Linked DNA regions of Callithrix jacchus. The protein of the gene in region 1 purifies or fractionates together with the protein of each later gene. This does not show direct contact. Links are inferred from orthologs where the notes say so. Each region holds a gene or a part of one and is shown in the gene's direction. Other genes may lie near its edges.

Region 1 (10,295 bases):
TCCTGGAGGCCCGCTGCAGGAAATGGGAGGTGGACTAAAGGCGGGACCAGGCCCGATTGAGCTCAATTATGACCAATCACCTCGCGGAATATTCGGCCTATAGTGAAGGAGAAACTCAGAACAAAAAGGAGACCCCACCTCCGCCGACGGTGAAAACCTATGAAACCCGGGCGGAGGCGTGCGGAGTGGGGTAGAGAGCGAAATCACGCCTCTTCAGTCAGCCACGCCTTTTATTCTTGCTCAGCCTCGCCACAGGGAGCAAATCCGATTGGCTGGACGACAACCTCAAAGGGCAGGGCTGCACACGTTCACTATGGGAATGAGGTAGCGGTGGAGGGGGCAGTTGGGCGGGGATAGGCTGTCCTAGCTAAGGTGGTAAAGGCCAATAACTGTTCAGGCCGCCTCTCCTCGAAAAGTCTTCTCGCGAACCTTTAAAATTCCTTCCTTCCCAAGCACCTCAAGGGACTAGAACTGAGTGCTTCATTTGTGTTTTTCCTTTCTGCAAAAGTCCCGTTTGCCAACATGGGGATATACCAAATGAGACCGAGTAGGGGGAGCGAGTGGTGACTGATACTCCAGGTTACTGGCCGCTGCTCTCCTTGGCGCTAGCAAACTTCTGCCAAGATCGGAACTGAGTACAAAACAGCCTCCACACTTCTCCCTGGTGCCGTCCCCGGCCCGGCGCCGCATCCCCCAGTGGGCTCGCAATGGCCGCGTCCCCTCCCGCTGCGGACGGGTCCTTTGGTACAGGCAGTCCGAGGTGAGTCCCCTCCTCTCCACTTCACCCTGCCCAGCGCCTGCGTGCGCATGCGCGGAGCGCGGCGCGCGCGGCGGTTGGGCCGTTGGCTGTTCGGCCCTGGGATCTGCCGCGACTCTGCGATCAGCCGGCTCTGAGCCGCGAGTCGCCGTGAGCGCTCGGATTCGAGCCGGCGCCAACGAGCCCGGGGGCATAGCCCGCAGCGGCCAAGCTCATGGCCGGCTGAGCGGGACGCCGCCTCCGCCTCAGCCACCGCCGCCGCCGCCGCCTCCTCCTCCTCAGCCGGCGGCGGCCCGGGCCCAGCAACCATGGCCGAAGACTACTGGGACGGGCGCCTGCGGCGAACAGGAGGAGAAGGAGGTCGCGCGGCCTCATCCCGGGCCGCCGCCCCAGGCGCCGCCGCGCCGGCCCCGCGGCTCTGAGGTTGCTCGCGCGCCCCCGCCGGTGAGCGCGTCCCCGAGGCGTGGGGGCTGCCCCTCCTCCTTCAGAACCCACCCCGGGCGGTGCCCGGGGGTCTGGGCTGGCAGGTGCCCCCACCCCCGGCGAATTTCCCATAATGCACCGGGGCGGGGGGTCATTTGGGGCCTCCCTGACCTTGGCTCCGCCCTGGGCCCGTCCTGGGAGCTGGGGATGGGAAGTGCTGTGGGTGCTAATGGGGAGCAGGGGGAATCAAAGGACCAAAGGGTGTGGAAATGGGTGACAGACTGTGGGGTTGCTAACGGGGGTCGGGGCATGTGGCATTAAGCCTCACGACTGTGTAAGGTTCAAGGCCCGGTGTGTGCTTGCGGAAGGAGGGCGGGGTGCGGAGCGGGTGAGGGACCCGAGGGTGTATAACGGCGGGTAGGATGTCGAGGAAGTTCCAAGACATGCTTATAGGGGTTATGTCCGCAAAGAGGCCCGGTGTGTGTTTATGGGAGACAGGGTGGCACAGGTACCAGAAAGTGTGCTGATGGGATCAGGGCTCTGAGGCCTGGCACGTGGCGATGAGGGCCAGGATGGTGTTAATACTGCGTGTCTGTCCGTGGGGCCTGCGGTGTGTGAGAGTGCAGTGTGTGCTTGTGGAGGGCAGGTAGTTGAAGGACTCGAGTGTGGCGTGTGCGCCAGTGGGGGTCATGGCCGTAGAGGGTGTATGCCTGTGGCCACAAAGGTCTGGGTAGTTTGGGGCCCAGTATATGCTAATGAGGGCAGAGTGAGGAGGGACCTGAGGGTATCTAATGGCGGAAGGACGTGGAAGACCTGAGCCTGGCCTAAGGGAGATGAGAATTGTGTGTCTGCGGGCCTGGGAAGGGGTGGTGGGGAGGGAAGTGTCAGCACTGTCAGAGGCTCAGGGCACAAAGGGTCAAGGTGATGTGAGATGTGTGTCCATGAACACAGGGAATGTGAGTCTCGAGGGCACACTAGGAAGGAGCAGGATAATATAAGAAGTTCTGGTGGTTGCTAATGTGGGTTTAGAGCCATAGAGGCACTTCAGTGTGTGCCATCGGGAGAATCAGTGTGAGGTCTGGAATATGCTAATAAGCGTCAGAACCTAGCAAAGATTGTGCCTGTGTGTGTCTGCAGGGGACCTTGTGTCTGCCGGGGACCAGAGTGTGTTGAGGTTCCAGGGAGTGCTACTTGGGGGTAGGGCTGTGGAGGGAGTCTAGTGTGTAATAAGGGAGATCAGGGCTTTCATGAAGGGATCCAAGTATGGACCAACAGGGATTATATCTGGAGGGGTCGGAGCAGAGAGAAATAGACGACGGGAATATGTGATGATCTCGCTGTGCTAAAGTGGATTACAGCTAGGGAGGGCTGAAGTGTGTGCTAATGGGAGTCAGGGCTGAATGGAGACCTATGTGCACTAATGAGGGTCAGGCCATGGCAAAACAGTGTGTTTGTGTGTCCCTGGGGAATAGGGCTGAGTAGGGGTTCAGGGTGCACTGATGTGGAGGCAGGACTGTGTGAGGCCCAGTGTGTGCTAATGGGAATCAGGGCTGAGTGAAGGCTCAGTTTGTGCTGACTGAGGGGACAGGACAGTGGAAGGACTGGAATGTGTGTTAGCGATGGTCATAGCTGTGAAGGGGCCTGAGTGTGGGTAATACTGGTTAGAGGTCTATCTATAAGGTTTACTTTATGTTAATGGCATTCAGGGCTGTGTGAAGAAGGTCCACTGAGTGCTGATGTGGGTCAGCTATAGAGTACCCCAAGTGCATGTTAATAGAAGTCAGAATCATGTAGGGGGGAACAATATGTTAACGAGGGGGGTCAGTGCTACTGGCAAGAGCCAGAGAAGCTGGCAAGCAGCTAGGCCAGGGAGGGGCCCAAGAATGTAGTAGCAAGAGTTACTTAGAGGAGGCTGAGTGTGTGCTGGCAGAGTTCAGGGCAATATGTTGTGTGTTAGGGCTTTGAATGCTGATGGGTATATGAGATGATAGCAGGTAAGATGTAGTGAGGCCTCCTTGAGAGTCTAGCATGTACTAATGGGGATCAGGACATAGAGTGTGATGATCGAGTCCTTAGTGGTCAGTGTGGTGAGTATCCTTGAGCATGAGAGTAGGCTGAGGATGGGTATATGTCTTTGGGGATCAGAAGGGTCAGGCTGGACATATGCCCTTTTTGGGGTGAGGTTTTATGTCCAGTTTCTTGCTCTCTCCACTTTTTTGAAATCTAAAAAGCTCAGACAACTGAAATGATATTTAAGTTTCCTTGCATATAAACGTTCAAGTATCTTTGTTCACAGGGGCTTGCCTGAGCCCCCCCATCCCCCTTTCTGGGAGTGTTTGTTATGTGAAATACAGATTTTGTACCCCATCTTCCTAAAATTCCAAAAAAAACTGAACTCCAGAGCATGTACAGCCCTTGGGGTTTCCAGTTAGAGGTCGTGGTCCCATGGCTCCTGCTGGCTCCCTCCCCATCCTCCATTCAGCCCTACTTCCAGTCTCCCCCGGCCCCTCCCCTACTCCCTGTCACAACATGCAAAGCAATTGGGTATCTGTGCCATATGGGGACACAAGGTTGTCTTTGGGAGCTGGCCATGCTTTACCTTCCTCACCTTAGGTCCAGTATTCAGCATCCCAAGTCAGGATGTTTTGTTGTTATCCTGGGTTCTCCATGGTTGGACCCCATCTCTATCTGAGGTCTTTCTGCTAGGCTGGCCCCTACCCCTCCTGGGGATAGTGAATTCAGCCAGAGGGGAGTTGGGGTGGGAACTGCTGGGGGAAGCACCTTATTTCAAGGTAGCACATGACCCATTTCTCTCCTCAGATCCAGCCCTTCTCATCCTTGACCTCCTATCTAGCTCTACTTCCCTTGGGCCCAGGGCCATCTTAGGCCCTGCTGTGAGTCCAGATGGTTCCTGGGCCAGGTCTTTCCCCCTCCTTGCTGGCTCAGAGCCCAGGAGGAAGCAGAAGAAGGCTGGCCTAAGCCTTTTGGTGGCCCCATTCCCTTCAACAATCCATCTAGGTCATCTTCCTATTGATGCCAGCATCCTTGGGCTACCCTGTTTAGGGTTGTTCAATGAGTAGCAGGGACTCAACACCTTAGCAGAGGTTGGTCCTAGGCCCTCAGCCCTCTGATTCACTTTTTTCTGCCATAAGCACTTTTTGAGCATCTACTCTGTGTCAGTCACTATTCCAGGTCCTCAGGATATAGCCGTGATCTAAACACAGAAACCTACCCTGGCGGAGCTGATCTTCTAGTTGTGGCGGTGAGGAGATAGACAGTAAAGACTAAAGAAACCACCAATAAGTAGGTGGTATCATTTCTGAGGAGGTAATGAGTGCTGGGGGGATAACTGGCAAGGTGAGGGAGCTTGGGATGGTTGAGATTTTAAATAGGGTTATTCATGGAGGTCTCATGAAAAAGGTGACTTTTGAGCAATGGCCTGAAGGGAGAGGGGAGTGAGCCATTTCGAAATTTAGGGGAAGGGTGTTCCAGGTACCAGGAACAACCAGTGTAAAGGCCCTGAGGTGGGACTCTGCTGGGTGTGGTTATAGAACAGCAACTAGGAATGTTGGGGGGAAGGGGGTTCAGAGGTAATAGGGGCAAATGAGGTAAAGACCTGCGGGCCACATTGAGGACTGGGGCATGTATTTGGGGTGATGAGAAATGTAGTACATTCTTGAGTAGAGGAGAAATGTGACCTGGCTTGTAAAAGTCTGGATTAGACCCTAGGGGTCCTAACCTGATCAAACTTTTCTGCCAGCCCTGAGAACAGCTGGTGTACACTGAGACATCCCACCCCCCCAATAACCCCACTCAGTGGTTGGGTCTGGGCAGAACACCCTGACAATCCCCCCCCCCCCGCCCCCCCGGGTAGATCAATGGGATGATGCGGTGGTTGTCATGACGATGATTGCTAGAGGAGTCAGGAGGGGAGGGTCCCTGTGGGCACAGGGAATAGTCTGCCTTGGCCTTCAGGGGTGGTGCCAGGGGAACCATGCTACACTACAGGCGTGCTCGAGGCCATGTCAACCATCCCTCAGTTCTGGGCCCACGCCCTGTTCGACCCATGGCTGGCCCCGTCACTGCATCTGTACCAGAGAAGAACTGCTATGGAGCTTTCTCCTGCAATGAGGCTAGTCCCCTAGAGGCCAACCGTCTATTACTTGAGCCCTTGCCCTCAATCAGCCGCCTAAATACAAGAATTCAGGTGGGCTACTTAGGAACAGGGTTCCAGGGGGCTGGTAGTGTGGGTGGGCAAGTATTGACAAGGATCCCTGACCATGCCGGGGTTCCAGAAACCCCCAGTGGCTCTAGAGGGTCCATAGTGGTTGAGTAAGCACTGACAAATTCATGTCAGTGCTCCCTGCTAGGTTGTGGGCTTAAGGGGACCCATGGCGATCAAGCAAATGCTAATACGAGACCCATTTCCATCCTTGCCCCTTACTTAGATCGCCATGGATCGGATGAAGAAGATCAAACGGCAGCTGTCAATGACACTCCGAGGTAGCCGAAACATAGACAAGACCAATGGTGCCACTGAGCAGATAGGCCTGGATGAGAGTGGTGGTGGTGGTGGTGGCAGTGACCCTGGAGAGGCCCCCACACGTGCTGCTCCTGGGGAACTTCGCTCTGCACGGGGCCCACTCAGCTCTGCACCAGGTGGGTCCACTAGCTACTCCCTCTCCCGTATGACCCCAGGCTGCTTCCCAGGTGCTGCCTCTTGACCACATTCCTCATTTTCCTCTCTATTTTCTGTCCCTTCTCTGCCCGATGTGTGCTCTCTTCTTCCCCTTCCCTCCCATCTTCTCTCAACACCCTCTGTCTATCTGTCCATCTGCAATCCTTTCCTTGCCTTTCTGGCCAGGCCCCGTGGTGGGTGGCAGAGGGTGCCTTGCCTGACACAGCTGCCCCAAGGCTCCCTCTGCCCTTCTGCCCTCTATGGTGGCCACCTCAGGCCTCTGGTACCTACCTGCCCTGGGCCTGCCTTCCCAGGTCCCTTGGCTTATCCCCACCACCACCTAGCTACTGGCTCTGAGCTCAGTTTGTCCTTGGAAGAGAGGGTTCCACTAGGTGACTTTTGCACCCCCCCTCCCCCAGTTCAACCTGTCCTTAGATGTACCTGGGCCCCATCACCCTCTCCCTGAGGGACTCCAGGTTTGCTCTGGGGGCCATGTGTACACATGTGTGATGATGGAATATGTTTCATGGGGAAGGGGGTGTCCTGTGGTTCCTGACGCCATCTGGCCTGCCCTATCCCTCTCCCTGCCACCAGAGATTGTGCACGAGGACTTGAAGATGGGGTCTGATGGGGAGAGTGACCAGGCTTCAGCCACATCCTCGGATGAGGTGCAGTCTCCAGTGAGAGTGCGCATGCGCAACCATCCCCCACGCAAGATCTCCACTGAGGTGTGTAATGCCCTGTCTGGCTGGTGAAGGAGCTGGAAAAGAGGGTTGGACCTGGGGAGGTGGAGCTCATGATCCTGTTTCTCTCTCACCTTACCTGCTAGGACATCAACAAACGCCTATCGCTACCAGCTGACATCCGGCTACCTGAGGGCTACCTTGAGAAGCTGACCCTCAATAGTCCCATCTTTGACAAGCCACTCAGCCGCCGCCTCCGTCGTGTCAGCCTGGTAAGTGTCTTCTATTCCTGTCCTCTCCTTTTTCTCCTCCTCTCCCAGACCCTTCTCAGCCTGCTTCAACCTGCTTCTTTTGTCCCACAGTCTGAGATTGGCTTTGGGAAACTGGAGACTTACATTAAGCTGGACAAGCTGGGCGAGGTGAGAGGCAGTCTGGAGGCCCATGGTGGGGATGACCGTCAGTGGGAACTCCTAGAATCTCATAGCACCTCTCCTATCACACTTCCTTATATTCCAGGGTACCTATGCCACCGTCTACAAAGGCAAAAGCAAGCTCACAGACAACCTTGTGGCGCTCAAGGAGATCAGACTGGAACATGAAGAGGGGGCACCGTGCACCGCCATCCGGGAAGGTACACACCCCCATCCCATCTGCCCCAGGCTTCCCTGACCCACCCCATGGTGCACACGCTCCATAATGAGAACAAAGACTGGTTCTAGGACCCTCCCCCCCCCAAAAATACTCTGGCTTTCATGGGAATGCCTGTCACCTGCATATCCAGGTAATAATCAGGATAACCAGGAATCTGTTCCCATTTGGATAAAAGGTGGATGAATTGCAAACCAGGTTGCTAGCTTTGGTTCTGAGAACACCCCTGAAAGTAGTCACTAATTTATTTACAGCAACAATTTCTAGTCAGAATATCACATGGAATGAATTTGAATTCAATTTCACACAATGCTGCAGGCCTATGTACTGAGGGTTGGAGCCAGGCCCCTTCCCAGAAACCAAAAGCAGGTTGTGAAAATCTAGTGCCAAATGAGCCTGGAGCTGCAATCCCAGTCTTGCTCCATACTCTCCTCTGAGTCTTATTTTCTGCACCTGGCACATGGAGACACTTCTTTCTGGCATGAGGTGGGTTAGAGCTGGTGGCTCCAAGGCATTACCCTGAACTGTCTGGAGAAAGAAAACCTGGGCTTGTCCCTTTCTAGTCCTTGTCCTCACCTCTGTCCTGAGGGTAGGACCCTGACTCTTTCCCCTGTCCCACTCCCATGCTTCCTGCAGTGTCTCTGCTCAAGGACCTCAAACACGCCAACATTGTTACGCTACATGACATTATCCACACGGAGAAGTCCCTCACCCTTGTCTTTGAGTACCTGGTAAGGTTGAGTGGCAGTGGGTCCCAGGGGGAGGTGGGGAGAAGGCCAGGAGCCATAGGAAGTAACCCTCATTTCTGTACCACCTCTTCTTTCCTCAGGACAAGGACCTGAAGCAGTACCTGGATGATTGTGGGAACATCATCAACATGCACAACGTGAAAGTGGGTGTGGGGCAGGAAGCAGGGGCACAAGGGGGCCCCCACTCACCCACTCCAACCCACAAATCTCCCAGAAATGGACTCTTCCCTTTGGCTTTTTTTGCTGGGAGCCCTTGGAGGGCACTGGGACCCTGTCCTCTTTTGTGTGACAAGGCTCTGGGCCCAGTATCTGTGTTTGGGAGGGGAGCAGTGCCTGCCGGGGGTCGGGCTAGTGGATAGTCTTTGACCTCTGCCTGCCATTCCTGGGTCCCCAGCTGTTCCTGTTCCAGCTGCTCCGTGGCCTGGCCTACTGCCACCGGCAGAAGGTGCTACACCGAGACCTCAAGCCCCAGAACCTGCTCATCAACGAGAGAGGAGAGCTCAAGCTGGCTGACTTTGGTACCACTGGCCTCCCACTTCTTCTCATCAGCCCCCCAGCTTCCTACTTTCCCATGACCACTTAGTGTCATTTCCTTTTAGCCTCGCCAGATTTTGCCTAGGACATCATCGGTCCCAACTGCACTCTCCCCCAGACTTGGCCTATGACCTTCTCATTCTAGCTGTCCTTTCTGTGCTTCCCAGGTCTGGCCCGGGCCAAGTCAATCCCAACAAAGACGTACTCCAATGAGGTGGTGACACTGTGGTACCGTCCCCCTGACATCCTGCTTGGGTCCACAGACTACTCCACTCAGATTGACATGTGGTAAGGCCAGGTGGAAGTGTGGCAGGGACCATGTGGTAAGGGGGGTGGCTTGGTCACAACAGCCACCCAGCCAGCTGTCTCTCTCTTCACCATGCCCTCCCTGCTTAGGGGTGTGGGCTGCATCTTCTATGAGATGGCCACAGGCCGGCCCCTCTTCCCCGGCTCCACGGTGGAGGAACAACTGCATTTCATCTTCCGCATCTTAGGTGAGGAGGCATGGGCCCAAGGCACTGTGGAGACACACAGGGAAGACTTGTGAGATGTTTTGGGTAACTCCTCTACCCTACTAGGAACCCCAACTGAGGAGACTTGGCCAGGCATCCTGTCCAATGAGGAGTTCAAGACCTACAACTACCCCAAGTACCGAGCTGAGGCCCTTTTGAGCCACGCACCCCGGTGAGGCTGGTGGGTGGATGCATGTTAAGGGCCAGGGTGTCCAAACTCATTTTAAAGCAGGTTTCCTTGTCCTTGTGGCAGACTTGATAGTGACGGGGCTGACCTCCTTACCAAGCTGCTGCAGGTGAGACCACCTTGGGCCAGCATTGGGGGTAAGGGATTCAAGGTATGGGAAAACAGGGACTCCCCCGCAACCAGGGGCAGGATCTGAGGTGGGCAGGAGACCTACTCATTGAAGATATCAATACTATCCCCTACCTCCCCCCAACTCAGTTTGAGGGTCGAAATCGGATCTCCGCAGAGGATGCCATGAAACATCCATTCTTCCTCAGTCTGGGGGAGCGGATCCACAAACTTCCTGACAGTGAGTGGAGCTGGGGAATGGACCGGCCAGTGTGGGGACTGGGAAACAGGACTGCTGGGGCCAGCTGGTGGGTTGCATAGGATCTGGCTGTGCCACCTCTAAGTGGGGGGACATCTTGTTCACATAACATTTTTTAGTTTTCAGTTCCTTTTACCTTTCATGAAAAATTTCAAACATACATAAAAATATATGTAATAGCACTTTACCTTTTTTAAGTAGACATTTCCTTACATGTGCTAAAAAATGCACAAATCCTAAGTATGAATTTTCATAAATGAAACACATTCTTATAACCAGCACAAAAGTCAAGAAACAGAATGTTAGAAGCTCCTCGCCCCCAGCTCCCTTGCATCTCCTTCAGTTATTCCCAGCCCCCTCCCAAAGGGTGGCCTCTGTTTTGACCTCTAACAGCAAGGATAAGTTTTTTCTGTCTTTGTACTTTATAGAAATAGAATCACATGTGATGTTCTCTTTTTATATCTGGCTTTTAAGAACTTTTTAATATGGATATTTTCAAATATATGTATTTATATATTGGTCAAAAGAATGTGATGAGTCCCTAAGTACTCCCACGAGTCAATAAGTGGTCAATCTGGTTTTATCTATATTCTCTCTGATTATTTTGAATCACATCTAATCCCAGACTCATAACATTTATCCCTCATTTCAGCATATACCTATAAAAGATTTTTTTAAAACAGTATTATCAAACCTACAAAAAATTTGCCTACTTATCTCCTTACTGGATTAATATATAAAGCAAATCCCAAACACC
Region 2 (10,864 bases), on another chromosome or scaffold:
CACAGGCAATAAATGTAGATATTTATAGGCAACAGGCTTGGCATTCCTCAGATTTCACCACTCAGTGGCTGCAATCACTCTCACTGCTGGCAACTTGTTCTTGTGATTGTTTACCTTACTGGACTGTGAGTTTCCCCAGAATGGAAACTGTATCTTATCCACTTTTGTATCCTCAAAATGCCTGGCTCAGTATATCCTCAAAAATGTTATCCATAAATGAGTCACCTGCCTCAATCAAGGTCAAGTGCTATCAAAGTAAATACTTTCCCAGTAGCTGCTTAGACTGTGGACTGCCTACCACCAAAGGCAAAAGGCAGGCCCCATTTGAAGGAGAGGTCGGTGACAGGAGGAACTGCAGTAGCACAACACACAGAAGGTCTTGGTTACGCCACAACTGCCTTAGAAATGCTTGAGTAACTGACATGAGGAACTGACTACCACATGAAAGGGCAGCCATACCCCAAGGAGACAATACACATTTTCCTTCAGGTTCAGGTTCAGGTCCTGGGCTAACTTGGCTCAGTGCTTTGTGTTCCAGGAGGTGACTCAGGGAGTTGTGCAAATGACTGACTCATATTTCATGGATATGAGTGTAGCTGATGTAAGACTGCAATTATCTCCTGATTCAATTAAGGTAGCCTATTCTTGATTGTTTTTATAAATTATTTAAGTTGATACTAATACTGCTTATGTTTTAAATAGTGTGGTTCCACAGAAAATTTGTTTTTTCTGTGAAAAACAAAGCTACTATTGCCAAAAAAGTGTGAAGAGTACCGACTTAGCTAGAGTTCACCTAAGTTTTATGTTTACCTGTTTACAGTGTCCAAATTCTTCAACAGTGATCAAGGAGGAAGATGAGACAAAATAATTCTCAAATGATTCCTTCTGCTCAAAGAGCAGGGTGGGTATGAGATCCAGGTTGGTTTGTTTTTTTTAGAGACAGGGTCTCACTCTGTCACCTGGGCTGGAGTGCAGTGGCGCAATCACAGCTCACTGCAGCCTCCAGCTCCCAGTCTCAAGCCATCCTCCCAACCCTCCTCAGGCTGGAGGACAGGCCTTGTTACAGTGCTTGGTGCATACCTCTGCCCTTTCCCACTCCCCTAGTCCACACTCTGGGCTAGATCCACAGTCTGCTGAGGAACCGTCCCTGCATTCAGATTCCCGAGTGACACAGTATTAGAGATGCTGTGGCTAGATACTCACGTTGTTTCTGCATATGGCTATTCCTCAACCTTGTTGCCTATCTTCTTAACTCTGGTTGGAGGGCTGAGCCCCACAGAAATGACAAGGCTCCCCTCATCCTTTTCTCTCTTAAAGTTTAGTACCAGTCCTAAGCAGTCAGCTCCCAGCTTTCTTTAGGGCAGAAAAAGAGGAGAGAAGTAACACTTGCTTTTCCATTCACAAAGTCCTGGAGATGGCAGGTAGGAGGTTTGGGTGGACGTAGCTTGGACTTTGAAATTAGAACCAGGTTCAAATCCTGTTAGGACATTTCTCAGTATTTTGATCTTGCATAGGTTTACTTACCAAAGTTAAAGTGGTCTATTTATAAAATGGGGTACAACTTATCAGATTTAGATGTTAGAAATAGTACAGTGCATGGCAGCTAGCAGGCTTTCAAGAAATGACATCTCTCATTAGTATCATTTTGACATCACATTTCTCTGTTCATAGTTGGTTACTGTTCTGTAATTTCCCCCAAAGTGTCACTGTGTGTCAGGGAGGGAGCATCTGCCTGGAGGAGTGTGAAGTGTGCATGTGGGGTGCATCGAGGGAGTCGGCACCCAGGTAAACCACTAGCGAGGCTTTAGTACATATCTTTTCTCTCCAGAATTGCTGACCTCAGTAAGTGCAGGTACATACCTAAGGGGAATATGGTAGAAATGTCAGAGGAGGTAGGGGTGGTGGGGGGTGGGAATCCTGGCAGACCAGAGGCTGTACCACGCTTTGTTGAGGGTACGTGGCTACACTGATCTCTAGTCCTCTAGATGCTCTCTCCAGTTAACACTGCCCAGCGACCTGCTCGGACAGAGAGCATGCAGCCAGCCATGCTGTCACCTTAGTGTCATTGTCTCTTTCTTCTCTTAAGGCCTTCAGAAACCATAATTTGAATGTAAATGTTATACATTTTATAATGAAATAAAAATTGCTTAATGCGCCTGAGTAGATACACCACATTCCGATGTTTCATTGACTGGATGCTGACTTTCATATATGGCCCAAAGTACAAAGCAGCAATCAGAACAGACAAGGGAACTCCTCTCCCAAGGGTTCAGCCATCCGACCCAACCTTCATAGCACAGAAAATCTGAATACACACATGCAATTGTGAATGTGCCCCAATCAGTTTTCCCAGGAAGCAGGAGGAGGAAGGGAAGGGCACTATTTTGTACTGTTGTTGTCTACCCACCCTCTCCAGGGCTGTCATTCTTCAGAATTTCCCTTTTATACTTCTTCTCTCATCTGGTCAGCATGACCACTTTGCAGCCATTTATTTTCCAGGGACGTTTGTCACTTATCCTAACAAATAGCATTAACACAGTTGAGAGGATGGAGCTTTTAAAAATTGGACTATGCTGAAGGAATTAAGAGAAAAAAAAATCTAAAAAATAAAAATATGGACTAATAAATGTACAAACAGTCCTGTGAGAAGGAGGGAAAGCACAGGTTAAAAAATGGCTAGATGCAGAGAATTAAATGAAATGTTTATAAAGCCTTTCACAAGATGGCCACACATTGCTGATGCTAGATAAATACTAAGTCCCTTATATCTTCTCTTCCCTTTTAGTACCTGGATTTGTCACTAACAGGTGCTGAGATCTGAAGAAGGCATGATTTCATCTCTCTGGGCCTCAGTTTTCTCATATTTAAAATTAAGATAGTTGTGCTGGTTTTTTTTTTTTTTTTCCGAGAACTAGTTCAAAGATATTCCCAGCCCCCTACCAGCCTCTGTTCATGACTCCTTTAGTACATATTTGGAAAAAAGGGTGGGAAGGCTGTTTCTGCACCTTATATCCTTCCCAATAAAGGCAAGAAAAGTCAGGGATGGCTGGCATTGTGGGCTTTGGGTGGGATTCGAACCAACATTTACTGGACTTTCCTCTGAGCCAGGCTCGTTCACATACCTTTATCCTAGTCAACTGGCCTAAGTTAACTTGTTCCCAAAGCGACAAAACCTGATGGCATTCTAAAAGCAAAACTAGGGCAGTCAATGCGTTGTGTTACCTTAGTTCTCTACCTCAGGTTAACTTCCAAGGAACTCAAAACACTCCACAGCAAATTCAACATTAAAATAGCTCTAGGACCCCAAGATTTATTTCAGGCCTTAAAACAAGATTATCCTCAAGTCCTCGGCAAAGCTCGAAATATAATAGAAGAGAGAACTCCCACATCAAGGCCTAGCTTCTTTTAAATGCTTACCAAATACATAACTAAACAAAAGAAAAAAGGCCCGCACCTTGGCCCATTCCTGTAATCCCAAGGGAGACAGAGACGGGAGGACTACTTGAAGCCAGGAAATCGGTACCAGTCTGGGCTATGAGATGCCTTCCTTACAAAAAGTTAACACACACACACACACATCCCTACCTTAGATACTTTGGAGACACACACACATACACACACCCCTACCTTAGCCGGGCGTGGCTGGAGACAGACAGACACACACACATTCTATCTTAACCAGGTGTGGTTGGAGACACACACACACCCACCTTAGCCAGGAGTGGGTGGAGACACATACACACGCCCCCCTACCGTAGCCGGGGTGACGCGAGCCTGTAGTCCCAGCTACTTTGGAGGCTGAGGAGGGAGAATCACTTACTTTGGAGACACACGGAGACACATACACACACACCCTACCTTCACACACACAAGGGAGAATCGCTTAGCCACTGTGTCACACGCACACACACACACACACCTTAGCCGGGCGTGGCTGGAGACAGACAGACACACACACATTCTATCTTAACCAGGTGTGGTTGGAGACACACACACACCCACCTTAGCCAGGAGTGGGTGGAGACACATACACACGCCCCCCTACCTTAGCCGGGGTGACGCGAGCCTATAGTCCCAGCTACTTTGGAGGCTGAGGCAGGAGAATCGCTTGAGCCCAGGAGTTCGAGGCTGCAGTGAGCCAAGATCGCGCCACTGTCCTCCAGCCTGGGCGACAGAGCGAAATCTTCTCCCTAAAAAAGTAAATTAGAAAAAGAAGAGGAAAAAAAAGAGCCAGCCCGGTCTCGGAGAGGCAGGCGCAGCCTCGGTGCCCAGGGCCCGGATCCTCCTCCCGGCCTAGGCTGAGCTCCGGCCCGCTGCGGGCCGCGGGGACGCACCTCGCATCCCGCGCTAGGCCCCGTCCTGTCCGGCCCGGGGGAGTGGAGGAGGCCGAGGCCCGGCGGGGAAGGGCCTCCAGATTTCGAGCTCCCGCCGACGATTCCCGCGACCCCAGCGCCAGCTAGAGGCGCGGCCGCGGGTAGCGACCCCTCACCCGCATAGGGCCGCGCCGCCCCGGCCCTCCCCTCGGCCGCCGATCTGCTTCCAGGGCAGAGGGAAGGGGCGGGGCGGGGCGGGGCGGGGAATGCGGCGAGGGGGCGCGCGCCGCCAGGGGGAGGGCCGCCAACATCCTCCCCGGCCGTGCCGCGCCGCGCTGGGCTCAGGGGCTGCTTCCACGCCCGCTGCCTGCCCACTCGTCGGCTCGCCCCGCTGCCTGGCGCGGACACGCGTGCCCCCGGCTTGAACCGGAACCTCTTGTCGAGGCCGCCGCCGCCGTCGCCGCCGGGGAAGGGGACGCTGACTGAGAAGCGCGGGGGGAGGCGGCCTGCGCGGCGCCGCCCGCCATGGCCGCGGCGGGGTGAGTTAGGCGCTGCGGCCGCAGTCGCGCGGACCCGAGCGCTCCTCCGCCGCGGATAGGCCGGCCGAGGGGGAGCCGGGGCCGCCGCCCGCTCGTCGCCGCCGCCGCCGCCCATGGCGAGGCCCCGCCGCCGCCGCCGCTGCTGACCCGGCGGCCGGCCGTGGCTACTGCCCCCTCCCGCGGCGGCGAGCGGGCGGGACTCCCCCTACGCCCCCGCCGCCCGCGCCCCGCGCCTGCCTGCGCCCAGCTCCCGGGGTCGGGGAGAACAGGACCGCAGCTGGAGTCGGGGGCCGCCGAAGATGGGGAACACTACCTCGTGCTGCGTGTCGTCCAGCCCCAAGCTCCGGAGGAATGCCCACTCCCGGCTGGAGTCCTACCGGCCGGACACGGACCTGAGCCGCGAGGACACGGGCTGCAACCTGCAGCACATCAGCGACCGGGAGAACATCGACGGTGAGTGCGGCCCGCCGAGCCCTGCGCGCCCCGCGGTTGCAGACGCACACCCAGCGTAGGGGCGGCCCGCGTGCTCTTGCCGGCCCAGCCGCTCTCGGCGACGCGTGCACAACCGGGGCTTCGTCCGCGCAGCCAAGGCGCCGGGGGTCCCCCAGCCTCCGGGCGTACCCCTCGCTGGTTATCCCCGAGTGAGCGGCCGCGGAAACTTTGCAGGCCCGTGGCACCGGAGCGCGGCGGGCCGGGGGCGAGTGTGTGCGTGTAGGTCGCGGGGGTGACAGGGGCCGGCCCTCGTCCGCAGAGGAGCGGCCAGCGCTGGGCGGGGGCGGCCCGGAACAGGCACTGCCTGAATGCAGCCCGAAGCCAAGTTGTGCACGGGTTTGTCTTGCAAAAGCGGTGGGAGTGGATTCCCGTTTTGGAGTCCCGGTGTCTCCAACCTGGAGTTGGAGATCCGTGTTGACTTAAGTCAGTTCCCCGGAACCTTACAAGTGGACTCCACTTGACTGACCTCCGTTACCATTCTCTTTAAAAAGTTTTTTTTTTAAAAGGGTTTTTTTTTTGGGGGGGGTGGCGGTTCCCGGTTTAGAGGCAAATCGCTTCTCCCGAGAATGCTCTTTAAAAGATTGTCAGACACCTTTGGGTTAAGTCACACAGTTTTTGCTTGGACTCGAATTGCAGTCCTGTGAATTTCTGATTTACTTGGGAATTCATAACCGGGGCTTCGTCCACACTTTTGGTTGGATTGGAGTTTGCAAAAAGAAAAGCTAAGATTAATTACTGCACCCAGTAATGCTTTATTTTATTGGTTTGGCAACGTTTTGTTAGCCCTGTGGCCCAGTGATATCATTAAGCATCAAGCTTAAAATATCGTTGACTGAATTTTCAACTTAAAAGGTTTGAGATTGGAAATATCTTTTTATGACAACGTGATTTTTCTTAACCGAAACGTCTTCTCATGATTAATCTAGTTGAACTAATACGGAAAAATTTTTGTGTCAATGAATGGACACAACTTCGTAATTGTTTTCTATCGTCTTTAGGATGGAGTGTTCTCTCTACTGTGGAAAGGCCACATTTAAACTCTGCTAAAGAAAATATTTATCTCGTTTGTTTTCGTGTGATTTTTTCTAAATGGTAATTTCATCTTTTTAGGAGAGCATCTTTATTAAAAAAGTGTCATGTAGAAAGGGACTAACACAGTCCGGTTTTTAGTACGCGCTTAGTAAATTATGATTCCATATGACATTTCTAGTGTTGTTATTTTAGATTTCCATTATTTTTAACATACTCTTTAGATGGCTTTGAACTACAGCCATACTTTCTTCTTAAATTTATGCATTTAAAGGCATCTAGAAGGATGAAGACCCCATCTGTCTCAATCACTTTCACAGCCTCTAGCACTTGAAAGAAAAGTCTAGCATATAATAAACATTCAGTAAATATTGCATTTTAAAGGGCAGAGTAAATGAGTGAGTTTATTACAGAAAGCCATTACTCAGTCCTGTACAATGTTGACAGGTGAAAACATTTGTAAATAATTTCTTTTTTATGTTGTGCATAAAAAATAATTCAAAAATTATTTTGAATGATGGATCAAAAAAAAAAAGAAAGAAAAAAAACGGAAGAAGATTCACATTTCTTAGAGCCAGGCTGCATACAGTTATTTTAACTATTGTAAGGACATAAGGTGGAAAAAATAATGGTAACCAGGTATTTGGCACTAAGGCTTAGTATGATTTTGCCAGAGTACAGTGAAATAGTATTGAGTGTTCTTTCATTTCAACTAAAACTTAAGTTTCAGTCATCAGGTATTTTCAAGAGAACATTTGGAAGACTGTTTTGGAGATTCAGGATAGTTTGAGAGACTATAGGGCAGGTTTCCAATCTAGGCTGTGGGGTGGTGCCCTCTCATCTCAGATCCCAGTTCATATGATGCTAGTTTAAACCCCGAAATACTAATTAACTGTCTGTCTCTCAAATTCAATAAATAATACTTCTAGCATTGACCCAGCTGGCAGTTCTCGACATTGACATTGGTTTCAGTTAAACCAGAAATCTAGTGTTGGACATTGCCATTAATATATTTAATTAAATCTCTCCAGGGTGATTCTGAGATGCAGGTAGAGTTGAGAATTGTTGGCTGGGCAAATCTTGGAAGTGTTACCTGCTGTTCAGGGACATTTTTGGTAGAAATTCATTATTAGAGGTTAAGAGAAGAGAACAGATTTTAGCTAAATAGTATGTGTGTATGTATATATATACATATAGATAGGCAAATATAGACATACAGATGTGTATATATATATACACCTACAGAGACAGATAGGCAAATATAGACATATAGACATACGTATGTGACATATACACACATCCGTATGTCTGTATTTGCCTATGTGTATCTGTATGTATTTGAACTGAGTTGTATTGATTGTTAGGTTATTAGTAAACATTTTAAAACTATAAGAATTATTGATTCTAGAATATATCAAAAGCTGAAGTACACAAGTACCATCTTCTGTATGTCCTGAAATACGTACCACCCAGCTGATGTAGAAAGGTTTGGAGAAATTCATGGGTCTTCTATAATAGGTTAGTGTCTTTAAATCACAGAGATACAACATATATATCCATGTTTTCTCCCCTCTGCCACCAGACACACGAAGGGGTAATATTTGTCCTATAGAATTTCAGTGGCAATTTTAGTGTCTGGGTACTTAGGTGTCTATGGTGCTTACTGTCAAGTTAATGTGTCTTTGTTCTCAGTGTATATTAGTGTTAGGTTATTCCTATTTTTGAAATTGATATTAGACTCATGCTCCCCAGGTATTATTTCTTATAATATCATTCAGAGATTAAGAAAAAACAACAATACATAACAATAATGTTAGTAATTTTCAGAACAATTCTTTAGGAAAAAAATGATAATAATAATTGAAACATATATATATATATATATATATATATATATTTTTTTTTTTTTTTTTTCTTTTTTTTTGAGACGGAGTTTCGCTCTTGTTACCCAGGCTGGAGTGCAATGGCACAACCTCTGCTCAACGCAACCTCCGCCTCCTGGGTTCAGGCAATTCTCCTGCCTCAGCCTCCAGAGTAGCTGGGATTACAGGCACACACCACCGTGCCCAGCTAATTTTTTTTGCATTTTTAGTAGAGACAGGGTTTCACCATGTTGACCAGGATGGTCTCGATCTCTTGACCTCGTGATCCACCCGCCTCGGTCTCCCAAAGTGCTGGGATTACAGGCTTGAGCCACCACGCCCAGCCACTTGCAACCTATATATTACTTACCCTGTACCAGCTGCCACCAGCTGTCGCTCTGAGTACTTGAATTCTGTTCATTCACTTAGAACTCACAGTAACTCTATGGGTAATATTATCCTTACTTTAAAACAAAGAAATGAGAGGAGAGAGGAGAAATGACTTGTCCAGAGTCACACGTCAATACGTGGCAAATGGGAACTTCCCATTGTTGCTTGACTTAGCCATCAAACATTAGCTAGTCTGCGGTTGCCTTCTGGGATAGGGTGTCTGTTGTCATTTCGTATCCATACTTTATCAAAGAGAAACTCTTCTGTCTGCAACAGTTATTCAGTCCACACTTCCATGATTAGATTATTTCTGTGGGAGGAAAAAGGGAGGGAGGGTCTAAAGAGAATTTAAAATGTGAGGAGACCAGATAAATCAGGACACTTGTAACAGCTGTGCCATAGTGTCCTGGTAGGGTTTTACTTCAAAATGGTTGATGGCAACTTCATTCTTTTCATTCTGATGGCTTACCTGTTATCCTTGACAACTCATTTCTCCCTCGTCCTGTATCCTTTCTGCTAGGAAGGTGTGGCCCTGGGTCCTCGGAATATATCCAGTCGCTGACCACTCTCAACACCTCTGTTGCTGCTCTTCTGAAGATCTAAGCAGCTGCTGTCTCTCCCAGCCCACCTGGTCTCCCTACTTCTACCCTCGCCTGCTCCAGTCTGTTCTCAACACAACAGCCATGGCAGAGATCCTTTAAAAAGCGTTAACTTCTTATTCTTTCACTCAAAAATGGCAGCAACTTCTCATTGCACAAGTAAAAGCCTTACAGTGGTTTCCAGGACCCCTTGTGATCTGCCTGCCATCAGCTCACTCTGTCGCTTGCTCATTCCAGCCACATTGGTCTCCCTCCCTGCTCTTCCTGGAACGTGCCAGATACCAACTTCCACCCCTGTTCTCTTCCTCTGTTCTCCATGTGCCGTCTTGGCTGAGTCCCTTTATCGCCTGCAGCCTTGGTTCAAGCCTCACCTTTTCAGGGAGGCGTTTCCAATCACCCCCTTTAAACATCCTTCCTGCTGCCCACTGGCAATCCCAGTGCACATTCCCTGACTCCTGTTTCTTTATTCCCTGTCACCTCATGATATACTATATAAGTGTAAACATATCTAATAGCTACCTTCACCTGCTATGTAAGTTCCAATAGAACATTTATTGTTTGGTTCACTGATGTAACCCAAGTTCCTAGAGTAGCACCTGATTCCTTGAAAATACTGTATTTGTTGAATGAATTTGTTGGGTGAAACCAACCACTGAAGGACGTGAGTGAGAACATCATCAAGTGTGTTTATTGGGTGAGGGGAAACAGGAGGCAAGGAGACAATGAAGAGGACTTGTAATAATGAAAGCAGCATGGATGTGAATCTTTTTGTCTTTGTTTGTAGGTTAACCTGAGAGGTAGCAGATAGGGCGAAGTCCTGAAATGAAACGTAAACGTTTTAAAGCATAACAAGAGAAAACACAGCCAGGCCGACAGGAAACCCTGGCTAATGGGGATCTGTTTAATAATGTGCTGTGTTTAATCTTTTTCCCTTGTTTCTTTCAATGAATGACTTTAGCTGTGGCCTTACATCCTTCGGGATCAAGTTGAGACTCAAATGCTTAGTTAACCAAAAAGTACTAGATGAACATCTGCAATGATGAACGTAGTCACTTATATTGGTTTTCTTGTCTGACATGTGAAGTGTCTTACATGGTGTTTGGACTCCACAGCCAGAGAAACTAGAAGCCTCAGGGACTCATCCCAAGCAGTGGAGGGATAACCAGCAAAAGTACACTTGCCATTAGAAGGGTGGGGACACGGGAAATGTAGAATCTAAGTGCCTCCTGTAGGATGAGCTTGCAGCATTGCTCTTGGCTTCCTCGGGTGTCTGCAGTCTATTTAACACACCTCTGCAGCACTCTTTCTTGAATCTTGGTCCCACATTAACATTACCAGCCCTGGTGGGCAGAACGTACCTATGGACTTTCTTTCCAGGCTAAGACTTATCAGCCACACTGCCTGCAAGATGTGTGGAGACACTCTGACCAAGCACGCGACTTTGTGTTAGTTAGCAGAGTGGAGAGGTGCAGTTTGATTTGTCAAGAGAGTCCTTCACCATAGCACTGACCATGGCTCCATGACCTATCTTCACTCGCTTTTCATATATTCTGTTTTTACTTAGAATCAGGGAGTCCTTTGCTCTCACACCCCCTTTTCACAGGTGAGAAGACTGAATCTCAGGTACAGTTTCTTGCCCA
Region 3 (10,295 bases), on another chromosome or scaffold:
AGAAGAAGAAGAACAAAGACTTCAAGATAAGAGAGGCTGTGGTCCCGGTGTTAAATGCTGCCAAGAAGTTGCTGATTCTGTAAATACTCACTGGATGCCTTCTCTGTGCCACTCTTCTTTTTTGTTTCATTTTTAAGACTTTTTTTTAGTAGAGCTATAGTCTAGCTATGTTGCCCAGACTGGCCTCAGAACTGGCCTCAAGTGATTCTGCCAGAGTGTTGGGATTACAGGCATGAGCTACCAAGTGCTAGGGTAAAGAAGAGGACAGACTGAACAAGTTTCTTGCCTTTATGAGCTTATTTTCTGGTGAAGAAGACATTATTCTTTCAGGTACTGGTAAGTAGCAAGATGAAGCAGGATAAAGGGATACAGAGTGATAGGAGGCGCTCACTGTTTTAGAAAGAATGATCAGGAAAAAAGAACCTCTCTAGAGGTGACATTTGAACAGTGACCTGAAGGTAAGGGAAGGTAAGGCGTGCTGGCATTACAGGCAACCAGACAAGTACCAAGACTAGACAGGAACCTGATTTTTTGTGTGTGTTCAAGGAACAAACAGCAAAGTGTACAGTGTGGGTGGAGTGAGAACTGAGAGAAAGAGTGGAGGAGGTGAGCTCACATGGGCAATGCCACACATAACTCATAGGGCCTTTTGGCTTGCAGGCCACAGGAAAAAGTATTTGTTTTGTTTTGAGTTCGAGTCTTGCTTTGTCATCCAGGCTGGAGTGCAGTGGCATGATCTTGGTTCACTGCAACCTCCACCTCCAGAGTTTAAATGATTCTCCTGCCTCAGCCTCCCGAATAGCTGGGATTACAGGCATGCACCACCACGCCTGGCTAATTTTTATTTTTAAAGTAGAGACGGTTTTGCCATGTTGGCCAGACTTGTCTTGAACTCCTGACCGCATGTGATCTACCCACCTCAGCCTCCCGAAGTTCTAGGATTACAAGTGTGAGCCATTGCGCCTGGCCAGGAAGAGGTTTTTATTCCAGTTTGTTGGGTATAGGTTTTGAGCAGGGGAGTGAAGTGCTCTTAATTTAAGAGGTTATACTGACGCCTTGACAAGAGTAAACCGTAATAAACAGAATCGAGGCAGAGAAGAGAGTTAAGAAGTTAACTAGGGTAATGTAGATGAGCAGTGACAAATGGTGGCTCAGAATGAAAAGCAGGCAGCCTACCAGTGAAGGTGGACAGAGGAGGAATTGTGCACAATCTGGAATGGGGTAACTCGAATGTAGGCATTTGGCCTTAGCAACTAGGTGAATGGGAATGCCCTGTACAATATTAGGGACAGCTTGGGAAGTGGAGCAGTGGGATGGAGAGCTCTGGTTTGTAAGTGTGAAGGCTTTGGAGACCTTAGCAAGAAGAGTCTCAGAAGAGTGACAGCAGCAAGGGACAGACAGAAGTGGGTTAAGGAGAGATGGGAGATGAGAAGCTGACACCAGGGCATGATGCTTAGAGCAAATGAGAGGACACATCCGGGGGGGAACAAAGGAAACACATTGGGGAAAATCTGGCAGAGAAGGCAAAAGCCTTCAAAAAGATCCAATTGTGGGAATAGTGTTCTGCAGAAGTGGGATGGGATCAACTGCACTGATAGAGTTGGCTTTAGTGGGAAGAAAAGAACTTTCACACTGACGCACAAGGGCAAATGGTATCAGTGAGCATCAGCACATCATCATCTTACCAGTAAAGGCAACAGGAAGTTGAGGGATTGTGTTGTTTCACTGCTATCTCATTATTCCCATTGAGAGTTGAACCTTGTGAAGGAGGTTCAGTCTTAGGATACTGAGAGTGCAGAATTTGGGGGAAAGGGAACCGAATCTCTCTTAAGAACATGTCATGTTCAATACACGTTTTTGAAAACAGAGTTGAGTTTGGAGAACACTGCCAGATCTGAGCCGACTATCTGATAACCTTCAGACAATAAATAAACTCTTAAAATGAACCTTTGTTTGTTTGTTTTTGAGATGGAGTTTTGCTCTTGTTGCCCAGGCTGGAGTGCAATGGTGTGATCTTGGCTCACTGCAACCTCCACCTCCCAGGTTCAAGCAATTCTCCTACCTCAGTGTCCCGAGTAGCTGGGATTACAGGCATGTGTCACCATGCCTGGCTAATTTTGTATTTTTTAGTAGAGACAGGACTTCACCATGTTGGCCAGGCTGGTCTTGAACTCCTGGCCTCAAGTGATCTGCCTGCCTCGGCCTCCCAAAGTGCTGGGATTATAGGCATGAGCCCACCGCTCCAGGCCTGTTGCTGGCCAACATGGTGAAATGCTTCTCTACTGAAAATACAAAATTTAGCCAGGTGTGCTGGTGGGTGCCCAGCTATTCGAGAGGCTGAGGCAGAAGAATCGCTTGAACCCAGGAGGCACAGGTTGCAGTGAGCCAAGATTGCACCACTGCACTCCAGCCTGGGTGACAGCAATATTCCATCTCAAAAAAAAAAAAAATTACTTTTGTCTTGATAAAGAGATCAAATAGCATGTAGACATACTCTTCTGCAGAGAGCCCTTTGAGGTAACGGCAGATCGCAGCTTACCTCTATAATCTTTTCTCAGCTGTTTGCTTTGCTCAGTTCTTTGAAGGATGTTTGGTAGATGTAAAATAATTCATGCAATTGTCTCATAAACTGCTTGGCAGGTTTAGAGGAATACCAGGGGGTCCAGAGACATCCTTTTTTCCATGTACAAGTGTTTCTTGTGGAGACACTACGGTGATTATTTTACAGCCTCAAAGACCTGCGCCTGTCATGCTGCTTTGCACAACAGCCACTGGGTGGCTCTCTTGACCAGCGGTTCTTCAAGCTAGTGCCACGAAAGGGTTAGTTATTGTGAAAAGGAGAAGGTAAACATGTGCTCAGTATTACTTGGGTTTTATATGTTCGAGCATAACATAACTACCTGTAAAACTATCTACCATCTAGGTATGATACGCTGAGAGTACCTCTCTTTATGATGCCTTTTGCCGAGATGTTCAATCATTCCTGTAACCAAAATTGGGTTGGAAATGTAGATGGGCAAAGCAGGCAGCAGAGATACCTGACCTACAACTGTGATTTGGTGTCTTGCTTTGGCCAACTAAGCAAAGTCGCTGAAGAACATAATAAAAGGCACTTATTTTCTGGTCAAAAACAGAATAAATCTGTCATTCGTAAGAATTCTTATCAAAGCATTTAAACTGAACTGAAATCAAAGACCAGTGCTCTATTTTACAGGTTTATTTAGAAAGGCTCTTAACTTATGCTGAAATCGACATCTGTCCCACTAATTGGAAAAGGATTGTTCTGGGAGCCATTCTTCTTGCCTCCAAGGTTTGGGATGATCAGGCTGTGTGGAACGTGGACTATTGCCAGATCCTCAAGGACATTACAGTTGAGGACATGTGAGTTTGTAAGGTTTTGGTGAACTTTCTAAAGTTAACACTTTAAGGAATATTTTTAAAGGTTATACAGATAACGGAAATAGGCATAAGACTTTGTCTAGCTTAATATAACAGTTCACAACAGAGCAAGAATCTGTCTCAGAAAAACCCAGCTTCACATTTTTCATCATTAATTGATAGGTTTTGTTGTGTAATAATCTGCTTGATAAATTGAAAAGTCTTTTTCTGGTGGTTTTTGGCAAACATCTTACAAGTGTACTACCAGAACAACATAGTACAGTAAATATCTTTATGGCTTTTAAAAAGTTATCTGCCAGTTCAAGCTCCTTTCTTTTTCATTTATTTATTTATCTTTTCTTTCTTTTTCTTTTTTTTCATGTGACCAGTGGGGTATAAACAGCCCCTAAAGGGCATATGTCTGGCCTTTGAAATAATTGGCCACTCTTAAGGTCATAGGGCCTCTGGACTGTTGAGAAGTTATAGCTTCAACCTGAGTCACACATTGTATATTTGCTTTTGCTAGTCTTTTTCCACATTTTATCTGAAGGTCTTTTTATAAAAGCCTTGAGATATGAAGATCCCTGTGGCCCTGACTCCCTCCCCATTAGGAGTGTTTCATGTGTTTTGAAATTGGTCTGATGATTGATGAAGCTCCGGTGTTCCCCTCAGGCAATCTGAGAAGCACTGCTGGGGCATCACCCAATGCTCACCACACTTGAGAGGCTCCCTGGGCACTCGGACAACCACAGCACCACTTTGGGGGCCTTGAGTTACCTATGAGAGTGTAAGAAGTCATGCTGAGTCATGGAGTTCCTCACAGATGGCACCAACATGACCCTGAAAGAGCGGCTTCATCAGGGCTTCCTTCCAGTCTGGCCTCATGACTGCTGTGAAGGGAAGGGCCTTGGAGCTTGGTAGGCAGCGTAAGCCAGGGAGGCATTTCCAGCAAAGACTCTCAGGGTACTCACTGGATAGTGAGAATGGCTTTGTGGGTGGCATTCAGAACAATGTGAAGGAGCACGTCTTGATTTCATGTTGAGCAGCAGAGGAAGATCGAGGTCAAGACAGGCAGTGGCAAGAGCTTGTTTTTATTGCCTTTGCCATTACTCCATATGACTGTCATTCAGAATTAGCATACCATATACTCACAACTGAAGTGAGGAGACTTGTGACTAAAAAGGAACCAGTAATTGTGGTAGCTGTTGAAGTGGCTTTTGGTGAAGTTAACCACTTTACTAATGATGTAAACCAAACAGCTGTGGTGATATTGCTGGTAGCCGTTTTAGCAAAGGATATGACAGCAAGTAACTTTGAAACAAATGTAAGTACTTTTGGAAGTTGCAGAAGCTAAAGTGACTTCGATCACTGCTGTCATCAGTCTGCAAACTAGTTTCTTGAAGGAAGCAAAATTTATAATTATGAACACTTAGCCATACCATGATGGCAGCTAAAATGTTCTCAAAATCTGCGACCGAACTGGCTGGGACTCTAGTTCTAAACCCAAGATCAGAGAACACACAGGGAAATGTGCAGGTTTCTACAGATGTGAGCTCCAGGAGCATCAGTGGCAGGGGCCAGCTCCAAAAAGACCAGTTCCAAAGACTAGTGCTATTTGTGTATGCCCAGGGAAGCACCAGGAGCTCTGCTACTAACACTCTACTTTTGTTTATGATCTTTGCAAAGCATTTCAACAAACGGTTTAATAAACATTTATATATTAAACAAATGTCATCCCCCTGCTGTTGACTATTTGTAGTGGTCTCATTTTGAGTCTAAATTTAAAAATTTTATATTGGTGCCTTTCAGGTTTTTCTTAAACTTTTTCAAATCTACATGTCATGTTAGAATATATTTCCCTTTAACAGAATAAGTTAAACTGAGCAGCTGCTATTCAGATGGTTTGCTGTGCCTGTAAAGGGTATGCTATTCAGCCATCTAGCCATTTAAAAAACAACAAAAAGCCTAGAAGATGCATATTCTATGGGCATAATGCTTTTCTTCAGTGATTAAACCCCTATTAATACATGTGTTAATCCTATGAAGTACTATATTTCTACACAGTTAAAATGTATTAGTGGAAAAAATATAAAAGGGATTGTGAAGTGCATTTATTACTGTAGTAAATTAAGTCCTGATTAGCTGATTATCAAAACATTATCTGATTTACATTTCTATAGACTTTCGGACGTATGAACAGGAAATTAATTTTGGAATTAGGTTCAGTTGGGTTTTTAAGCTCAGCAAATGAGAAAACCACATCTCTGCTCATATTCTAACTGCCCTCCATACAGGGGCTCATCAAGCATTTGTTGACCTAGCCAGTGGATAAAATATTAAAATTTTAAAACCAAGAAACCAAATATGTTGTTCAGGTATTTATCATTTTAATACAGTTAACTGTATAAAAGAGTTACTGTGGGCCGGGTGCGGTGGCTCACGCCTGTAATCCCAGCACTTTGGGAGGCCGAGGCAGGTAAATCACGAGGTCAAGAGATCGAGACCATCCTGGTCAACATGGTGAAACCCTGTCTCTACTAAAAATACAAAAAATTAGCTGGGCATGGTGGCGCGTGCCTGTAATCCCAGCTACTCAGGAGGCTGAGGCAGGAGAATTGCCTGAACCCAGGAGGCAGAGGTTGTGGTGAGCTGAGATCTCACCATTGCACTCCAGCCTGGGTAACAAGAGTGAAACTCCGTCTCAAAAAAAAAAAGAGTTACTGTCAAAGTGGTTAAGATTTTCTCTGGTTTTATGTTTATTTGCTTAAGCGTTTGGCAAGGGCAGCTCTGTGGTCATGTGGCTGAGGACTACAAGCACCTTAGGGTTTCATTCCCAACTCAGAAGAAATGCCTGAGTTTATAAATCCAGTGACCTACCAGAAGTCATATCAAAATGGGTTTAGTCTGGCTGAGACATCCACCTTTGATCCTTCTGCCTTCCAAAAGATGGAGAGGATCCTTACCCTGTCATAGTGACAATTTCTCACCTTCATAATATTAAAGTGAGCAGAAACTTTCATTATGCCCTTTGACATAGCCTCATGCACTGGAACAGGAGGAGAGGATTCCCTTCCCCTGTAATGTGGCTTGCTTATTTTATTTATTTGAGATGAATCCTTGTTGCCTCAAGAGTTTTTCCCCCTCAGAGATAATAGCAGTGGCTCTCGATGGATCCATTTGTTGCCGTGGTGATGTGCCCACTCCTTTTGTTGGTGCTTCTCTACTTCAATAAGCCCCTTCCTGTTATCAGCCCGGTGAAAATGTCTGCAAGTTCTTCAGAGCTAATAAACAGCATACATCATTCCTTTCATCTGATCACTATAGTGGGGCCTTGTGAGTGAGCATGAAGTATGAATTGTACAGCTGCACTAATGGAACTCTGAAGAATGAGGCCCGAGTCAGCAGCACAAGTGCATCAGAGGCCTTAACCTTCAACCCTCATCCCAATCCCAGAGTGCTGGGATGCAGAAGGAACCACAAGTAACTGTACCTTGTGTGAACATTAGTATGTTAATGCATCTGGGTAACCTATATTTTAAAACAGAGTTTAGAGCCATTCTTGTAGCTCTAAACTACGAGATATTTTTGAAGAGCGCCCAGTTGACTAACATTGTTCTGTTCTGTTCTTCCTCCTCCAGGAATGAAATGGAAAGGCATTTTTTGGAGCTTCTTCAGTTTAATATTAATGTTCCTGCCAGTGTTTATGCCAAATACTACTTTGACCTTCGCTCCTTAGCAGATGACAACAACCTGAATTTTCTATTTGCTCCTCTTAGCAAAGAAAGAGCACAGAACCTAGAGGTAAGTCTGTGAAGTCACTAAGTGGGGTTTTCCATCAGCCACCAAAGCCAACATCTGTGACTAAATCATATTAAGTAGTGATTAGGAAAATGGAAAGCTTTAAAATCAACTAGCACACTGAAGAGCTTATTAGCCATTTGGCATCAGATTTCCTGTGTCTTTTATGGTTTATACGAGGATCAACATTATTTTAAAATTATACATACTGCCTCTTCTGTGACCATAATTCCGAATATTTTCAATCAAATTTAATCTGTTCTTAATGGGTTTCCTTTTGAACTTGTATTCTTTCACATAATCATACATGAATAATTTTTTTTAGCTGGGTGCAGTGGCTCATGCCTGTAATCCCAGCACTTTGGGAGGCTGAGGTGGGCAGATCACTTGAGGTCAGAAGTTCAAGACTAGCCACTGGCCAACATGGTGAGACCCCATCTCTACTAAAAATACGAAAAAAAAAAAAAAAAAAAAAAGGGCCAGGCACGGTGGCTCTTGCCTATAATCCCAGCACTTTGGGAGGCCAAGGAGAGTGGATCATGAGGTCAAGAGATCAAGACCATCCTGGTCAACAAGGTGAAATTCCGTCTCTACTAAAAATACAAAAATTAGCTGGGCATGGTGGCAGGCACCTGTAGTCCCAGCTACTCAGGCGGCTGAGGTAGAATTGCTTGAACTCAGGAGGCGGAGGTTGCAGTGAGCCGAGATCAAGCCATTGCACTCCAGCCTGGGTAACAAGAGCGAAACTCCATCTTAAAAAAAAAAAAAAAAAAATTAGCTGGGCATGGTGGCACATGCCTGTAATCCCAGCTACTTGGGAGGCTGAGGCATGAGTGTTGCTTGAAACTGGGAGGCAGAGGTTGCAGTGGGCTGAGATCATGCCACTATACTCTAGCCTGGGTGACGGAATGAGACTATCTCAAAAAAAATTTCTTTGTGACTGTATTCCTAATTTTATCTTGACATAATTCACTTGCCACTCCTGACTTTTAATTATTTATTCTGTTAGCAAATTCATGTCATTGTTTATATATCACATTGCAGTCCCGTAAGTTTTTTAGACAGAGGATTAGTGGCTAAGCCAAGAGACCTATACCCTTCACTATATAGGGTGCAGGTGTTTCAAATACTGGATGTAAGGGCCGGGCGCTGTGGCTCACGCCTGTAATCCCAGCACTTAGGGAGGCCAAGGCGGGCAGATCACTTGAGGTCTGGAGTTCGAGACCAGCCTGGCAAACTTGGTGAAACCCCATCTCAACTAAAAAAAAATACAAAAATTAGATGGGTATGGTGGCAGGCAACTGTAATCCCAGCTACTCAGGAGGCTAAGACAGGAGAATCGCTTGAACGCAGGAGGTAGAAGTTGCGGTGAGCTGAGATTGTGCCACTGCACTCCAGCCTGGGTGACAGACTAGGACTCCATCTCAAAAATTAAATAAAAAATAAAAACCCATGTACTTCTACAATCCAGTATTTGCTTTTTTGTTTTTGTTTTTTGTTTTCATTTTTGAGACAGGGTCTCACCCTATTGCCCAGACTGGAGTTCAGTGGCATGATCTTGGCTCACCACAGCCTCTCCTCCTGGGTTCAAGCAATTCTCATGCCTCAGCCTCCTGAGTAGCTGGGCACCTGCCATCACACCCAGATAATTTTTGTATTTTTAGTAAAGACAGGGTTTCACCTCAGCCTTCCAAAGTGCTGGGATTACAGGCATGAGCCACTGTGCCCATCCAGAAATGGTAACTTTTATGGGGCAAAGTAATATTTATGGCCTAGTGAGTATACAGCAGAATTACGACTGAAATGAACACATATTTTAAACTGATACTTTCCGTGGTACCTTGGTAGTACTTTAGAATGATATGTATTTCTCCGCTGGGTGAGGTGGCTCACGTCTGTAATCCCAGCACTTTAGGAGGTGGATCACTGAAGTCAGGAGTTCGAGACCAGCTGGCCAACATGGTGAAACTCCGTCTCTACTAAAAATATAAAAAATGAGTTGGGCATGGTGGCACATGCCTGTAATCCCAGCTACTCGGGAGACAGGCTGGAGAATCGCTTGAACCCGGGAGGTAAACGTTGCGGTGAGCTGAGATCACGCCATTGCACTCCAGCCTGGGCAATAAGAGCAAAACTCCATTTCAAGAGAGAAAAAAAGAATAATACCTATTTCTACCATAATTAACGTGCAAGTGAAGTAGCACCTTTTTGTGCTTCAGTCGTTTGACCTCATATGTTCCTGTATAGTCCAGTGCACACCTGCCTCATTAAAATTTACTTTGAGTATATATAATAGCTAATAAGGATTGGGTAGATTTGAATAGCTGAATAAAATTTTTTTGCACAAGTGTATGCTCGTTATAGTTAAGGAGTAAGTGCACAGGTAACAGATGCTATTGCTGTTCGGAGCCTATCACAGTATCTTTGACATCTTTGGGAATGTAATTTTTTAATAACTTAATAAATTCCCTTTTGTTCTCTGGCAATGTAATCATAGCCCTTAAGGGATATTACCTTGGTGAATTGGCAGAAAGTAGCATCCCCAGAACCTGGCAGTGTAAAACAGCTCAAGTAGCTGTAACTGTGAACTATCTAAAGGAGTCCACATGTGTGGCTTTCATCAATGGTGCCTTTTTAAAGGTGGGAACCCTTTTTAAAATTGTACCTGTTTTCTATCTGATTGACTTTCCTAGGCTATTTCTAGATTGTGTGAAGACAAAGACTTGTGTAGAGCCGCTATGAGAAGGTCTTTCAGCGCTGATAACTTCATTGGTATTCAGCGCTCTAAAGCCATCCTCTCTTAAAGGGAGAAATGAGGGGTTATAACATCACAGGACCTTCATCTACAAAGACTGAAGAATAACACCTTTCCTGCTCAAGAACCAGCAAAATTAGTGTTTTCATCATTGAATTCAGGAGACACATGGACAACAAGGATTATACTCCATAGGAAAGAATGGGACCTTGTCAATGCAACAAAACACTCTTTTGTCCTTTTTAATGTAAACAGAGTTACAAAAACCACTCCAAAGTGAAGGCTCCCATCCCACACACAGATATTTGCTTACTGTGTGGGCCAATAGCTGTGAACTATGTAAGGTTTTTTTTAAACAATAGTT

The links.
Region 2: the proteins of CDK16 (region 1) and CCNY purify together in Homo sapiens (affinity purification with mass spectrometry; 3 studies listed by BioGRID and IntAct, counting the BioPlex papers as one, with this or other methods). This does not show direct contact. The link is inferred for Callithrix jacchus from reciprocal best matches to the Homo sapiens genes CDK16 and CCNY.
Region 3: the proteins of CDK16 (region 1) and CCNYL1 purify together in Homo sapiens (affinity purification with mass spectrometry; 4 studies listed by BioGRID and IntAct, counting the BioPlex papers as one, with this or other methods). This does not show direct contact. The link is inferred for Callithrix jacchus from reciprocal best matches to the Homo sapiens genes CDK16 and CCNYL1.

The regions. Positions count from the first base shown.
Region 1 is NC_133524.1:48,179,007-48,189,301, forward strand, and holds the start of CDK16 (cyclin-dependent kinase 16), read left to right. Parts: upstream 1-805; 5' UTR 806-1,201; intron 1,202-4,360; 5' UTR 4,361-5,174; coding exon 5,175-5,387; intron 5,388-5,628; coding exon 5,629-5,839; intron 5,840-6,452; coding exon 6,453-6,586; intron 6,587-6,687; coding exon 6,688-6,813; intron 6,814-6,903; coding exon 6,904-6,960; intron 6,961-7,057; coding exon 7,058-7,172; intron 7,173-7,825; coding exon 7,826-7,920; intron 7,921-8,018; coding exon 8,019-8,081; intron 8,082-8,332; coding exon 8,333-8,456; intron 8,457-8,639; coding exon 8,640-8,760; intron 8,761-8,868; coding exon 8,869-8,966; intron 8,967-9,050; coding exon 9,051-9,156; intron 9,157-9,237; coding exon 9,238-9,280; intron 9,281-9,429; coding exon 9,430-9,520; intron 9,521-10,295. UniProt on the Homo sapiens protein: Protein kinase that plays a role in vesicle-mediated transport processes and exocytosis. Regulates GH1 release by brain neurons. Phosphorylates NSF, and thereby regulates NSF oligomerization. Required for normal spermatogenesis.
Region 2 is NC_133508.1:34,931,560-34,942,423, forward strand, and holds the start of CCNY (cyclin-Y), read left to right. Parts: upstream 1-4,967; 5' UTR 4,968-5,151; coding exon 5,152-5,305; intron 5,306-6,491; exon of another isoform or gene 6,492-9,358; coding exon of another isoform or gene 9,359-9,383; intron 9,384-10,864. Other genes in the region: uncharacterized protein LOC103794173, read right to left, coding at 4,047-4,190, 4,335-4,967. UniProt on the Homo sapiens protein: Positive regulatory subunit of the cyclin-dependent kinases CDK14/PFTK1 and CDK16.
Region 3 is NC_133507.1:129,211,155-129,221,449, forward strand, and holds part of CCNYL1 (cyclin-Y-like protein 1), read left to right. Parts: intron 1-3,214; coding exon 3,215-3,381; intron 3,382-7,016; coding exon 7,017-7,179; intron 7,180-9,869; coding exon 9,870-9,980; 3' UTR 9,981-10,295. UniProt on the Homo sapiens protein: Key regulator of Wnt signaling implicated in various biological processes including male fertility, embryonic neurogenesis and cortex development. Activates the cyclin-dependent kinase CDK16, and promotes sperm maturation.